Schizosaccharomyces pombe: one gene and its partner. The gene in region 1 interacts genetically with each later gene. Each region holds a gene or a part of one and is shown on either strand. Other genes may lie near its edges.

What was found. A genetic interaction does not mean that the proteins touch.
Region 2: of omh1 (region 1) and prz1, changing one suppresses a phenotype caused by changing the other (phenotypic suppression), as found in Schizosaccharomyces pombe (one study listed by BioGRID).

What each region holds. Positions count from the first base shown.
Region 1 is NC_003423.3:2,841,187-2,851,339, forward strand, and holds omh1 (Golgi alpha-1,2-mannosyltransferase Omh1), read right to left. Parts: upstream 6,344-10,153; 5' UTR 5,910-6,343; coding exon 4,737-5,909; 3' UTR 4,394-4,736; coding exon of another isoform or gene 2,915-4,393; 3' UTR 2,876-2,914; coding exon of another isoform or gene 2,442-2,875; 3' UTR 2,400-2,441; coding exon of another isoform or gene 2,148-2,399; 3' UTR 2,091-2,147; coding exon of another isoform or gene 1,955-2,090; 3' UTR 1,715-1,954; downstream 1-1,714. Other genes in the region: integral nuclear inner membrane protein Bqt4, read left to right, coding at 1-35, 82-1,128, 1,201-1,225; SPOM_SPBC19C7.11 (ClC chloride channel), read left to right, coding at 1,955-2,090, 2,148-2,399, 2,442-2,875, 2,915-4,393; gcv3 (glycine decarboxylase complex subunit H), read left to right, coding at 7,337-7,846; SPOM_SPBP19A11.02C (uncharacterized protein), read right to left, coding at 8,394-9,128; mts4 (19S proteasome regulatory subunit Rpn1/Mts4), read right to left, coding at 10,144-10,153. UniProt on the Schizosaccharomyces pombe protein: Mannosyltransferase involved in O-glycosylation of cell wall and secreted proteins. Plays a major role in extending alpha-1,2-linked mannose in the O-glycan pathway.
Region 2 is NC_003424.3:786,278-791,871, forward strand, and holds prz1 (calcineurin-responsive transcription factor Prz1), read right to left. Parts: upstream 3,636-5,594; 5' UTR 2,888-3,635; coding exon 842-2,887; 3' UTR 501-841; downstream 1-500. Other genes in the region: smp3 (alpha-1,2-mannosyltransferase), read right to left, coding at 1-122, 163-286; SPOM_SPAC16C9.01C (carbohydrate kinase), read right to left, coding at 4,607-5,574. UniProt on the Schizosaccharomyces pombe protein: Involved in the regulation of calcium ion homeostasis. Binds to the calcineurin-dependent response element. Transcriptionally regulates pmc1.

The DNA.
Region 1 (10,153 bases):
ATGGCAAAGGATTCAAGCATTAGTGCTACGTCAATGTAAGCGTTTTTTCATATCTTTTTCTAAAAATCTAAACCCGATTAGGTTTCGTTCAGCTTTCCCTAAGGCTACCCAAGAAGAAGAAGACTTGGAAATGAGATGGATTCGTGATAATTTAAACCCAATTGAAGACAAACGTGTTGCTGGACTATGGGTGCCTCCTGCAGATGCCTTGGCTCTTGCCAAAGACTACAGCATGACCCCGTTTATTAACGCCTTGTTAGAGGCATCCTCCACTCCTTCAACTTATGCGACTCCTTCACGCCCCACTGCGCAGAAATCAGAGACATCTGAGGGGGAACCTGAATCTTCGACATCTGCCACTACCACTTCTGTTGCTAGGCGCACACGTCAGCGTCTTGCTGAACATCTGGAGAATTCCAAAAAGACAATCCTCCAACATGATAATAAAGAAGAAGACAAGGAAATACATTCCGAAGAGAATGAAACGAAGGATGAAATTAAGTCTGAGAAGAAAGAGCCAGAAATCAAGAAGCAGGAAGGCGGTAGTTCTACTGAAAAAGTAGGTCAACCCTCTTCTTCGGATGATAAAGCAAAAGGATCAACCTCTAAAGATCAACCCTCTGAGGAGGAGGAAAAAACATCTGATATCCAAGATAGAAAGATTAAGACACCTATCAAGCCTTCTCTTCTTGGAAAGATTAGGTCAAGTGTCAATAAGGGCATGACTGACGTTGCCAGTCAAGTTAACAGAGGCATGACCGATGTTGCCAGTCAAGTTAACAAGGGCGTGAATGGTGTTGCAAGCCAGGTCAACAAAGGCATGAATGGTGTCGCTAATCAAGTTAACAAAGGTGTAACTGGTGTTGCAAGCCAAGTAAGAAAACCTGTCGGAAAGTTGGAAAAGAAGTTCGAGAATTTGGAAAAGAGCATTGGGGATACTTTGAAATCTTCCATTCGATCCTCTCCAAAGTCAAAGAAGAGAAGTAGAGAGGATTTTGAGGAAAACGAGGATTACAATGCTATGGTACCTGTGAAAAGGTCGCGTATCACCAAACTGGAAAGCGAAGTTTACTATGAAAAGCGGAAAGTCAGAGCACTTGGTGGTATTGCTATTGGTTTGGGTGTAGGGTAAGTATTCAATGATTGTGATAATTGGTCTTTTCCCTGGATTTAAAATCATTTACTAACTATCTTTCGCAGCGCAATTTTACCTTTTCTATTTTAATTTAATAGGGCCCTTTACCATTTTGAAACTACTGGATGTTAGAATTTAATGTGACATATGTGCTTTAATTTGTTGATGTAGTTTTTCGTGTTTAATGTGAAAATCAATTGACTTGATGACTTTTTACTTACTTTCGATTATGATTTGGGATTGGAGACCTGCTTCAGATTGATTTAGGGCTGAAATAACTTAATTTCCGATTGATTCTAGTGCACTATTTGGTTATCTTAATGTTTTATCACTTATATGAAGTTGTTTTAGTCCTGGGAAGTGTATTGTTTCCAATTTATTGCGGAATGTGATTTTTCCAAGTTATATTGATTACTGTACTTTGCTTTAGTTTTGTTTCATTAAATTTTCCTATTTTAAACTTATCTAGCAAAATAGCAAAAAGTAACATTTGTACGACTAACGAATAACTAACTACTATAGAAAACTAAAGAGAGTCGAAAATAGAATCTTCTTTTACTATGAAGATATTACAAATGTGCATTGTTTATATTCCAACTTCAATATTTCTTACTTCATAAGTAATAAAATTCGCTCGGTTTACACCCTTAACATACTATATTCAAGGTTGAGGACAAAGTTTTGGAAAAGTGCAATTAATGCTTGCGATTTGCCTACCATACAATAATAAATGCTAGTGATCAATTTTTGATATACAAAGGAGAAAAACAAGAGCATTTTCTTCAATTCTGATATTCTCCACATTAGATTATATCATCAATGTCCTCTCAAAAGAGAGCAGATTCCTCAAGTTCTTTTGATCAGGCGGAACGTCGATCTTTGGATGAAAATGAAAGGAAAAAAAAATATTTTTTTAATAGAGAAGGTTCCGGTATTGATAATTTTGAAACGGACGGTATGGTTTTTCAAGCTTCGAAAGCATTTGACTACTATTTACTGACAACTTTTAAAGACAGAGTTAATGAAATAATTAACGAGCAAAATGAAGAAAACGTAATTGATCAAAGCCGTTGGTCCAAGTTGTGGAGAATATGGAATGTTGGTTATTCATGGTTTATTCTCAGTATCATAGGAACAACAGTTGGGTTTGCGGCTTATATGCTTGACATAGTTACCTCTTGGCTATCGGACATACGAAGGGGATATTGTACTAGTCATTGGTATTACAATGAGAAATTCTGCTGTTGGTATAGCGAAACTATGGGTATGTTCAAACATGACTTGTACAATGATCTAACGTTTCAAGGTTCCTCGTGTACTGCATGGAAACCCTGGACTTACAAGTTTTCCCTAAATTACCTTATATACACGGCCTTCGCTTTACTTTTTGTGTTATGTGCTGCGATTATGGTAAGAGATGTTGCTCCTTTAGCAGCTGGTAGTGGAATCTCAGAGATTAAATGTATCATAAGCGGTTTTTTAAGAGATAGTTTCTTATCTTTTCGTGTTATGTTGGTAAAATGCGTTGGTTTGCCATTAGCCATCGCTAGTGGTCTTTCCGTTGGGAAGGAGGGACCCAGTGTACATTTAGCTACTACCATCGGGCATAATATATCTAAGATATTCAAATATGCCAGGGAAGGATCTATTAGATATAGGGATATTTGTGTTGCTTCTGCTGCTTCCGGAGTCGCTGTTGCATTTGGATCCCCTATTGGAGGTGTGCTTTTCGGTATTGAGGTAGGAAAGTTTATAGAGATTTTGACTAATTCTTTTAAGGAAATGTCTGGTGGTTATGACCCAAAAATGATAGTATATTCATTTTTCTGTTGTTTATCGGCCGTTGGTGTTTTGCATATGCTAAATCCATTTCGTACAGGGCAAGTTGTTTTATTTGAGGTTCGCTACTCTGGATCCTGGCATTTTTTTGAGCTTCTTTTTTTTTGTTTTCTAGGAATTTTTGGAGGTTTATACGGTGAATTTGTAATGCGCTTATTTTTCTTAATTCAAAAACTACGCAAAAAATACTTGTCTCGATGGGGTGTTCTCGATGCTGCTTTTGTCACCGTAATAACATCCTTGGTAAGTTTCTTAAATCCTTGGTTACGTTTGGACATGACCCTTGGGATGGAATTGCTTTTCCAAGAATGTAAGTCAAGTAGCTCACCTGAGTTAATTAATCTTTGTGACCCTTCTCTAAGGACTAAAAATACTATTTTGCTTTTGATTGCTACATTTGCAAGAACAATATTTGTTACCTTCTCGTACGGAGCCAAGGTTCCTGCTGGCATCTTTGTTCCTTCTATGGCGGTAGGTGCCTCGTTTGGCTATATGATTGGTTTGATAGCAGAGATGATTTATCAAAGGTTTCCAAACTCAGTTTTATTCTTAGCTTGTCATGGTTCTGAAAGCTGTATCACTCCAGGTACCTATGCGCTCCTTGGAGCAGCAGCTTCTCTCAGCGGTATAATGCATTTGACGGTCACGATCGTTGTTATTATGTTTGAATTAACAGGTGCCTTAAACTTCATATTACCTACCGTACTTGTCGTGGCACTTGCAAATTCCATTGGCAATATGCTGGGAAAAACAGGTATAGCTGATCGTAGCATTGAGATTAATGGATTACCCTTACTTGAACCAGAAAAATCCATTAATAGCTCCAATACCATAAATATACCCATTACTGAAGTGATGGCTAGCAATTTAATAACCATTCCTAGTATCGGATTTACATGGAGAAAGCTGTTAGGAATGATGGAAGGTTACGACTTTAGCGGATATCCTGTTGTTTTAGATTCACGATCTAATTATTTAATAGGCTATCTTAAGAAATCATCACTGAAGAGTTCTTTTGAGGCTGCAAAACTAGAGCCTTCATTTACTTTTGATCAGCAGTTGTGTTTCGGAAAGGTTGATTCAGTTGGCGATAGTAAGTCCTCTAAATTCGGTGAATCAGATAGAATAGATCTTTCAGCGTATATGGATGTGAACCCTATTTCTGTATTACATACGCAGAGCATTGCAAATGTCGCTGTTTTATTCGAAGTCTTAAGTCCAAGTGTGATTTTTATCGAAAAAGACGGAAATTTAGTTGGCTTAATCTCAAAAAAGGATTTATTACTTGCATCCAAATATTACCAAGAAGATAATGATTTAGTGAATCCTGCTAATCGTCATCGTGCAGTTTCTACAGAAAGGATCAACGACAGCTATGAAAACATAGAACTAAAGCCCTTAAAATTAAACATAGAATGATAAAATGTAATAGTTTCATTGAAGGGAGAATTAAGTATGGCTAAAAAGTTGATGCTTCAATAGTACGAAAGCAAGAACTGTATAAACGAAAGTGACTAAAATCGATAACGAAGTTAATTTCGGAAGACATAGTCTATCAGAAGGTGTAAAGAAATATACGGTACAAAATGAAAAAAGTAGGCTCATAAAGTAATAGCAAACCAATTAACCGTTGAAAGCTTTTCAAAAAAAATGAGAAGAGAAATGACGAAGTAAATAAAAATAAATGGAAAGCATAAATTGCGACTTAAAAACAAACTGAGCTTTTTAAAGCAAATCTGACATTTTAAGCCATGTGAAAGAATTAATGGCTATAAAAAGACCAGTTTTCGGGGAAAGGCATTTCAAATGCGGTATAGAATTTATCTAGACAGCTCCATCCATTATAATCAATGGATTCATAAGGATCACAGTCGCATTTAGCGCGTGTAGCATCATCCAAAGGACAATGACCGCTACCAGGATGCCAATAGCCAATCTCATTGAAAAAATGGATATTGTCACGATCAGCGAACAACGAAACAGCAATGCTATGAACTGGAGCATCACCCCAACGCTCATAGAAGAAATTACCACTTTTATCAAGGTAGTCAAAATATTTACTATAAACTTCACTTTCCCAAAAATCAACTTTCGCAATTTCAAAATTAGTCCAAAAATGACATCCGTTATAAGTTTCCCCATCATCATTAGATATGAAGTTTAGAGCATTATTAGGATGAAGAGCATTAGGGTGCATTTTGATGAATTCTTTGGTAGAGGGCCAAAGAGAAGGAATTGTTTCTGAATATTCAGTTACAGTGATAGTGAATGCATACGCCTTGTTATTTTCCTTCATATAAGCAAATGGATCGAAATCGAGGTCGCAAAAGAAATCCACACTAGGTTCAACTCTCCAATAATATTCGTACTTCTGAACAAGAGGATGACGATAAAAGAAACCAGACTCAAAGCGACACATGTGACGATAAGATTCTTTGTCAGCATAAAGAATTCCTAATTCTTGAAGTTTTTTCCAATTTTCATGCATTTTGTCTTGGTCAATATATTCCGGAATGCTCCATTGTTCCTGAGGTACCAAACCAAATTCACATTTGCCAGAGACCGCTTCAATAACATGCTCCTTAAATTCGTCAGAGAACTCCTCATTGTTAAGGAAAACCCATCCATAATGATATTTATGATTGAAAGTCTTCTCAAGTTTTCGGATTGATTTAAGTAAATCATTCAAATCTTCATTTCTTGCCAACGTAACAAAGGCAGCATTAACCCGTTTATTTGGAAGCCATTCGGAGCGTTCTGAGGGCTCTAGATTAGAAATATTGAAATACGAAAGAGTATCTCGATTGTCAATCAGACTGCCCTCAAATACACTGATAGTTGGGATGTATTGCTTTTTGAAACGTACAAATACAACCAATGTAAGTAATACCACTAAAAGTAAAACACGTTTGAACTTTCTTGGCAAGCGAACCATTTTGCATTAAAAATAGAAATGCTATATTTATAGATTCTGTAAGTCGGGTAAAAAGTCTTTAAAGAGACCGTTATTCTTCTAGTACAAAAAAATGAAATAAACAGCCGAAGGAAAACCAGTGAAATTGCAAGTTTTGATTTTCACTATAGTACTTCGAATATGGCTTCCAATAAACCAATAGATAAATAACCGAATGTGAACTAAAAGTACACTGGAGAAGGAAACAATTGAATCCTATGCAAATTATTAAATGTAACTACTTTGATAGTAGTAACTCTACAAAGCTAATATATAAGTCCAAGCACCAGTCAGTAAATGAAGTGATTGCTATGTTACTCAAAAAGTATAAGTAGAAAATTAAAAAGAATTTCTCTATGTTGGTTATAAGGAAATTCTAATAGTGAGCAAGCTTTTATCAATTAATGGTGGTGGCTGAGTGAGAATGGTGCAGGCACAGTTACAGTATTTACGTTATTGAGTTGTCCAAAGTAAAATTAGACCGATCGATTCTTTGAGTTTTACAGTCTAGCAATTATTTATTATACATACTTAAATAACATTATTTTAGCAAAAAACTAGGCTAGAAATCAAGTTGAATAAAAAGTTAACATTTCTGAAAAAAATTTTTTTTTTCTAAATTCCTCTGACTGTTCATAGGTTAAAGGCTATAAATCAAAAATTTTCAGTACTATCATTGTACATTTCAACTAGATGGAGAAGTTTCGCTTACACCAGTATTGCAGATCGTAACGTCAGATGTCTGTAATAATACTTTGTTTTTAGCATTGTACATTTGACAGTTATGGTTAACTAGGATTACCTTTCCTCTAGGACTTTAAAGATTTTATCAGCTAGTTCAAAAAGAAAAACGGTAATGTAGCAACTACTTGCCTTACATATTTGTTAATATATATCTCCCAGATATTATAGGGTAGGCAAATTTATTGAATGCACGTTCAAGTTGTCTAAAGCTAAGTCAAGCAATTACGTTTTTCAAAATTGAAAGAAGAAACATAATTATTGTAAGGTTAAGTGAACAAGCAAGTAGACTTATTAACCTATGCAAATATTGCTTTTACTTAAGAGGAACAGAACTGATTCATTAATAAAATCAACATACAAGCGTAATTCCTTATAGCAATAACGGTATATTTTCTTATACATCTATAGAGAGACGTATATACTGTTATAGTTAATTAGAATTGGCAACTGAGTTAGCTTACTAGTACGATAGATAGGAAATAACGTATCTTAAAACAAGTTAGTGAATTTGTACTTGTATACATTTTAAATATGCCAGAGTACAACGCAGGACGCTATAAAGCACTGATACATCGCGCGGTTTCGTTATTGCATTATTTGTCTGCTCTACGAAGTTAACGACTTACCATCCTTTTTAGCTACGAATAAAATTTGCAAGTCCTAACATGTTAGCTCGTTCTGCCCTTCGCTCTGGTTTCCTTCCCTCTCTTACCTCATCTGTAAAGACCGGTTTCTGTTTGAAGGCAGCAGCTCCTACTTTATCCATGAAATGGAGCGCGGTAAAATATTACTCAACTAAACACTTTACTAAGGAACATGAATGGGTTAAAGTCGATGGAGATGTTGGAACTGTAGGAATTACCTCTTATGCTGCGAATGCTCTTGGTGAAGTTGTATTCGTTGAATTGCCAGAACCTGAGACTACCGTGAGTGTAGGTGATGGCATCGGTGCTGTTGAGTCAGTCAAGTCGGCTAGTGATGTATATTCTCCAGTGTCTGGTACAGTTACTTCTATCAATGAATCTCTTGGTGATTCACCAGATAAGGTGAGCTCGTCTCCCGAGGAAGAAGGTTGGATTTGCAAAATCAAGTTATCATCACCTGACGAATTGAAATCACTATTAAATGATGAAAGTTACGCTCAATTTTGCAAGGAAGAAGACGCGTCCCATTAAATATGGTTATGTTAAAATTCCGTATGACCTACGAAGTTTGTTCTAGCTGGTTTATGTATTAATTACAACTTCAATTTTTTGTGATTGATTTACATATTCATCAAACTTTACTGGTTTTGGTTGTTTTGTTTTTTCATATATGAAAGAATAAAGCAATAACTCAGTTACAGCTTTTCAATAGTCTTTGAGACCATTTCATCATGGGCTTTTAAGACAATTTTATTTGTTGCACTCTAAATACCCTCTTCCTTCAACTGAAGAGTCATAACATCGCTTTCTTCTTTTTTTGTCGGGTCAATTTATAATGCATGGTGCATTCATTCTATCTGTATTGACTACGGCCTAAAAATACATTTTTTCCCAGACATACTGTTTGCTACTTTAGAGACTTAGCCTTCCATAATTGTACTAATAACTTAATAGAATTAAATTACAATTTCAACATTAAACTATAATCTGATAAAGTAATTAAGCGAAAGAAATTAATTGCATACTTCTGCTAGGTTGTAAATATTATAAATAGTAAGCCTATATTAAATGGGATAAATTAAGCCAAAAAGGCGAAGGCAGAAATTAGCATAACAACCAAAGCGAGAAGTCCGCTGGGAGAAGCATAATGCACAGCAGAAGAAGGAATGGTAGTTACGTTGAAACTAGTAGTGTTTACAATAGGAACAGATGTCGGGAAGACAGTAGTACTATTATGAACTGCGACCGAAGTGACTGAAGTGTTGAAGTAGCCGGTAGTGAATGTAGTGTTATAGAATCCAGTAGTGATAGGATGTATAGAACTCTCCGTAGTAGTAGGTACGAAGCTAGTAGTGTTGGCATGAGTTGTTGGCGGTACAACAGTAGTAGTGTTGACATGAGTTGTTGGTGGTACAACAGTAGTAGTGTTGACATGAGTTGTTGGTGGTACAACAGTAGTAGTGCTGTTAACATGAGTTGTTGGTGGTGCAGTAGTAGTAGTAGTATTCAAGCTAGTTGTAGGAGGTACAGTGGTCGTAGTGTTCATGCTAGTTGTAGGTGGCACAGTGGTAGTGGTAGAGTTATGGCTAGTCGAAGGGGGAGGTACAATCGAAGTAATGTTCGTGCTTGTTACGCTGTGGGTGGAAGTCTCAGTACTTGCACTGCTAAAGGAAGTAGTCGTAACATTAGCACTTGGTAAAGGAGTAGGCGTTACAGTTGTAGCAACGTCTGTCGTAAAACCAGGAGTATACTCCGTTTGTGCCATTACGGCTGTGACAAGCAACAGAAATTTGCAAAGGACAGAGAACTGCATCTTCTTATTAAATGATTAATGAATTAAAAAATAGAAGGATAAAAAATGCTAAAGAGTGCCTCAAATACAAGTTCCAAAAGACCAATTATATTTTCCTGGCTTTTATTTGCAAGCAAGCGAAATCGGATTAATGTCTCAATTTCAGTAGCACAAATCGAGAGAACGAATACCTCGATATATAGGTCAAATTTTTACTGACAAATTCTTACAAAATGCAATTCGGTAGACAAAATGACGGGTGAGTGATCCCATTGAAAATAAATTGTTCAATCAACACATAATAGTCCCCTAATAGTCATATATGACATTTCTATCAATTCAAATACGAGCGTCATTCCATTTTTTCACATAACGAAATGAATGCACAACTTACCTGTGGAAATGAATTAACGATGAGCAGACTTTGGGACTGCATATGATGAAACATAATAACAATTCAAGATAATATTTGAAATTAAATAAAGCTATTCACCGTTATTCCCTAAATGCGAAGTATCTAATGTGCAGTTTTACCTTTAATGTAATGGTTAGGTATTGAAACAGTAGTAGAAACGTGACATAAGGGATGCGTCGCAAAGCAGTCAACTCCTTTGTCGGATTATCAGAAGATGATTAAAATTCATTCTTTGATAATTGCATTAAGCTCCAACGCAGGTCTAAATTTTTTTTACTAAGAAATGGTAGCTCCTTAGTTCGGGCAATTTTTATCCAACAAGACGTTTCTGCAGTGGACGTTCTATTACCTTTTGGTAACGCGACAAATACAAAAAAAAAGAAACAGAAATTATAATCCTAATTACAAATTTGCAATCATGTATATATACTTTCCGCTACTTCAATTTAGAACAATACTAGAACATTTCTAATCTAAAAAATACGAATTTAACATAATCGAAATAGAAAAATAAATGTATCGGGCGCTGAATTTCAACAATCCAGTTTGTTTTATTAATAGCAAAGAACTGGAAATCAAGCATTAGTACATAAAAATTGTAGTCATTTAACTTCAAGTCATTTAAGCGGTC
Region 2 (5,594 bases), on another chromosome or scaffold:
GCAAATACACCGGCAAAGCAAGAAAATAGGTAAAAGCATCACATTCAAAGGAACTACAGACCGAATTGGTTTTTTAGTAGTAAATTCCCATGGAAGTTCCACTTTCCAGCCAAATAATTTATCTTTATATTAGTCATAAATTGTTGAAGAATTGTAATATACTTGCGAATATTTGAAACGATTGTAAATGCTCATCCGGATGTATGTATGAGCTGCCTTGCGAAAACCAAAAGCGTAAAATTAGGAGAAAAGTATAAATTATAGCATATTTACGGTTTTTAAACATCCTTAATCTCAATGGATAAAGCACGGGATTTATTGCTTCAGTGTGCAATGGATTACACGATGAAGATATAACGAGATATTCCGAACTATATATGTTTGTTATGAAAAAGGTTTGCTAAGCGAAAATGTAAACAACTCTTGGTCGACGGGTATATGTTTAAGAATACACGAAGCATACAAAAAGTATACGTTAAACTAATGTTTCAGTAAAATAATTGTACTAGAAGAATTGCAGGTCTTATTACATTTTAAATTAATCTAACTCAATACCCAAAACATAATTAATTTTAAACAAATCTAATATTAAAAGCCGTATTTTGGATCAACGATGGGGTAAAATCAATCACTAAGTATAAACAATGTCAACTCTCTTTAAAAAGGGCAAAAAGTTAATAAACTATAAACGAAGCCAAACGTAACATCAAAGATAAAAAATAATACAAAACCCTAAATGCAAAACTGTGCAAATACTTGCATCACATTGCAAAAGGAAATATAGTTAGACACCCATTAATCACAGGTGCAAGCAAAATGTCTTGCTTTGGAAATTAAAACATCATTTTTGTTTGCTTGTCGAGGCCACTGCTGTCTTTCTGGATGGCGGAACTTGAATTCCTCGTTCTGTGGCCGTGCGAAGACAATTTTGTCCAACTTCACTTTTATAATGTCGGTTAAGTGCATCCATGCGAGCAAACCTCTGATTGCAAGTGACACATGCAAAGGCTTTAATGCCAGTGTGTAACTGCTCATGTCTCCGTTTATCATGCTGTCTAGCAAATGATTTCTTACAAATCGAACATTGAAAGGGACGGTAATTTGTATGTGTATTCATATGACTTTTCAAATTATAAGCCCTAGTAAAACGCTTATTGCAACCAGCAAATGTACAAACGTAATTTCCTTGAGACTTAGACTCTGACTTTGCTTTAGACGAAGACGAATTTTCCGATTTGTTTCCTACTAGCGAATTCAATGATCGACTTCGAGGACGAGTATTTCTAACTGACAAATAATCGTTCGACTTAGAATTATCATTCTCTATTTTTCCCAGCAGTTCGGTATCTTGGTTAACAGATAGACATTCAGAAGAATGTGAAAAGTGAGTATATAATTGAGGTATGGGCTCATAAGCATCAAATCGTGAGCCAGCACTATTTGATCGATGACGAGCCGTATATGTGGGTGACATTTCAGGAGCACAAAGATTAGCGTTTTGTAAGTCATAAGAATTTTCATTCATAGCAGGTTGACCAGATACTGGAGATGCAGACTGGCTATAAGTGATACTAATGTCTGTTTGAAGAAGAGGATTTGCTGGCAAACTAGGTCCAGATTGGGATTTGGAAGGAGATGAAGGTACTACATTAATTTGTGGGGTACCCGAAAAGTTGTTTGAATCATAATTCAAAACGGAATTGCTTAAAGCGGTAGGAGAAATAGGGTCAAAAACGTGTGTTGTTAAAGAGGCATCTGCATGGTCCTCAGAAAAAGGAGAATTTACAGAACGAATAGTAGATTCTCTAGCATTTTCGCTGTTTAAAGTCCTTCCGGAGTTTGGAACAAGATATGGGGATGACTGGTGAGAAAATTCAGCGGAAGGACTGTTCTCAAATATGAAAGAAGGTGTGGAATGGTTAGACAATAAATCAACGGAAGGATTCAAATTGGTATTATCCGTATCAAAATCTATACCAGTGTTGCTTTCACCAGGAGACGCGTTCGTAAAGGCCCCCAGGCTCCCGGAAGAAGGTGGTTGAAGGTAGTCAGCAAAAGAACCGGTTCCGGTAATATTTTGTTGATTCTCCATCAATAAAGATGGATCTTCAAAATCAACAGAAGGAAATCTCTCTGAATCAACTTCAGTTCCAGATGCCTGTGACATTACATCAACAAAATTAAAAGCATCGGCTTCATACAGAGCACCAACAGAACCTTGTAAATATGGAGAACTCGGATTTGAAACAGATCCTGAGGGAAGGAAGGATGTTAATAGCTGAGGCGATGAAGATGGAGAAATTTCAGAAGCCGCAATTGCACGTGAAACTGGTAAGAACTGAGAAGAATCGATATTTGAAGACGGAATACCAATATTAAACTCATAAATGGATTGTCGTCTTGAGCCAACATTGTTAACAGTAAAGTCGTTGGCGTTATGAGTAGAACTCGAACCTTGAGTCAAGTCAAATGCTTGCGGACTATTTGATGGATTACTTAAAGGGCTAACGGAGTTTTCAAATACCGCTTGACTACCGAAGCCACTGACTGAAGTATCGTTCAGTTCTGTAAATGAAAAAGTAGGTACATTCCCGGTTCGAGGATAAGAATCATATTCATCGGATTTTGAAGACGTTTTAAAAGGCTCGGAGGTGTTGGGATGGAGGTGCTGAATATTATTTTTAGAAGGATTGGAAATTAAAGAAGAAGAAACTTCAGACGCAAGAGTATCCTCAAAAAGGGGGATATCAGCAAGCGAAGTGTCATTCATGTACGTATGCAACTCGCTAGAGCCTCCAAGATCCGGCTTTGAAAGGTTATCGTATAAAGAAGAAGGATTCAAGTCTTTGAATCTACGATTCGCTTCTTCTGACCTTTGACGCTCCATCGATGAAATTCATCAAATAATTAACTTTTGGAACGGTACGCTCTCAAAAATATTGTCTGAAGACTCACCAACTCTCTTTAATTGAATGGTTAGACAAATTATTTTTCAAAAAGCCTATAACGTGAATTTTTTGACCGAATAGTAGAGTAAAGCTGGTTTGTAGTAATAAATTGGATAAACCAGCAACACCAAGGGTGTGAAATTTATTAGTGGAATGAATAATTAATTACCAAAAGTATCGTTTAATAAACGAAAAAATTAAGACTTGAGGTCGTCAAAGTTAATCCAGTGCTTCACAGGATTTGATCAGATAACGACAGAATTTCTTGATACAAAATTTTGTATTTTGGAATAATGCGCAGGATAAAAGTCTGAGAAGATTGATGGTTAGTACAATATAATTGTTAGCTAAGCAACGTCAAAAAGGGCATTAAGCAATACAAATGAGAGGAGAGAGTGCGACAAATGAGATTTTCACAGATCGAAATGAGGAAGTAACCTAAAGGACAGCACAAGAGAAAACCCTTTAACGATTAGGAAAAATTGCAAAATTAGGTAGACAAGTATACAAGCGCAAATCGCTAACTCGACATGAAAAAAAACAGAATAGCCTCAATATACTACAGCGTCAGCTAAACGCTTTGATTTTCACAGAAAAAAAAATGATAGTTTAATAAATGGCCAGCAGATTATATATTTACAACGGATGAATTGCTAAATCATCAAGATATTTCTGCGATGTAGTGGTAAAGGATTGCACAAGACGTGATCGGGTAACGAATTTTAAGTAACACGCAGTTTAAACTTGAAGTTAGTATGAAGCAGCAGGATGCTAAAGAACAGTTTGCTAAACAAATTAAAAACAAAATATAATAAATTTCCATATACAAAGGATCCCAGTTAAGGAGTTCCAGAAATGAAAAAAAATTGGTTTTTGAAGGATATTCATCCAATTTTCTATTGAAAATTTACTGGACTTACTAAAGGGTGGCGACTTGTGTATAGTAAAGTGATGAGACATGTATTTTATACAAAGCACAAATAGCTAAATAACATGAATGTATGAAAATTTGTTTTATTTATTGAGCGACATCAAATATATATTCTAGTTTAAGGGGTAGGAAGCAAAGCCACATACTTTAAAGTGCCGGTTATTAGTTGAAGGCGTGCCCAAATGTAATACCACTTACAACATGGAGAACTTCCGTAGGCTTGTCAAGAAGCATTAAACCCCAAAGCTTGAAATTCATGAAATTAGCTTTTCAACACCATCCGAAACTCATTAGTGGGGAAGCAGAATAAGGTGTAGTACTACTTATAAATTGTGGAATAATTCTAAGTTGAAAACATAAAGTACTATAAATTATATGTAAGAGACTTCAAACCACCATGCAATTCTGACTATTGATTATTTTTGAAGAATCTTCTCTCACGATACGACGGACGGCGGCTTTGACGAGTTCCAGGCTCTTTGGTGCAGAGGCTTAGTTGAATGTTGTGAACGAAGCGGTTCATATCGGATACTTCAACCGATGTTCTGTCAACTAATATATATCATATTTGCAAATATCAAGAGCATTTCTTGTATTAGATTACCTAGATGCAGAAAATCCCAATTGTAATGCAACGAAATTGCGTATTGTAATAAATGGTATAATAATCTTATTAAGTATTTGTACTTCGTAGCAAAAGATGACTATATTGTGTTGTAAGAGCAACCTATACACCTCGTTTCGTAAGTTCTTTGATGGCGGAAGCTTCATGAGAAGCTAAAAATTCATAGTATTCTTTCAACCTCTGAAAGACTGATTCTCCGTTCCATAAGTCAATCCCTTCACTATTTTTCGTGTGTGCCGGCAAACCGTGTTGTTGAATGACAAACGAAGCGGCTACAGTAGCTTTAGCACAAGCTTCTATAATATTACCCGTCCTATAATACTCCAAGATTGCAGCTCCACAAAAAGCATTACCAGCCCCAGTGGTATCTAAAACGCTTCCGTTTTTCATTTGTACACTTGGCAAATGAAGAATTTCTCGCACAGGGACAACTGCATCGCTTGTAGCGTTGGTACTACTCGTGCATGCACCAATTAAACAACCATCGGACCCATTTCGAAGAACAACCCATCCTTGAGAATCGTGCCCAATTTGGAATTCTTGAAACGCAGATACAAACTCTTTGGCTCGAGATTTGCTTTCGCTAATATCTATACCCAGAAGGTTGGCAGAGTCCACCTCGTTTGGAGAAAATATATCACAATACTTTAAGGCTTTTTGTAAAATATGCCAGTTTTCCGGTAAACAGGATTCAGGCGTTGGCTCCCATACGATTTTAGGACGATTTTTTAGATTTCCATACTTTGCCAGTTCCTCACACACAGAGACAAATGTTTTAGGATTTGTAATAATATGAATTGTTTTTGCATATATCAATCCTGTTTCCAAAAGATCAGGAGCACGAATTGGCTTTTTAGGTGTAAGGTATTCAAACAATCGAAAACCATTGTCCCTGAGACGGTTGTAACCATATGTAGTTTTTCTCCAAGGCGTTTCTCTGTATACAATTCCAGTATGTAAATCGTTTAATTCATCGAGGATCACCTGCGGGAAATCAGAGCCTTTGTCAACAATCATTCCCAGTTGTTGACTTTCGGGTTCAGACGTCCAGAGTCTAGCACCAATCAATGCTGAAAATAATGTGTTAATT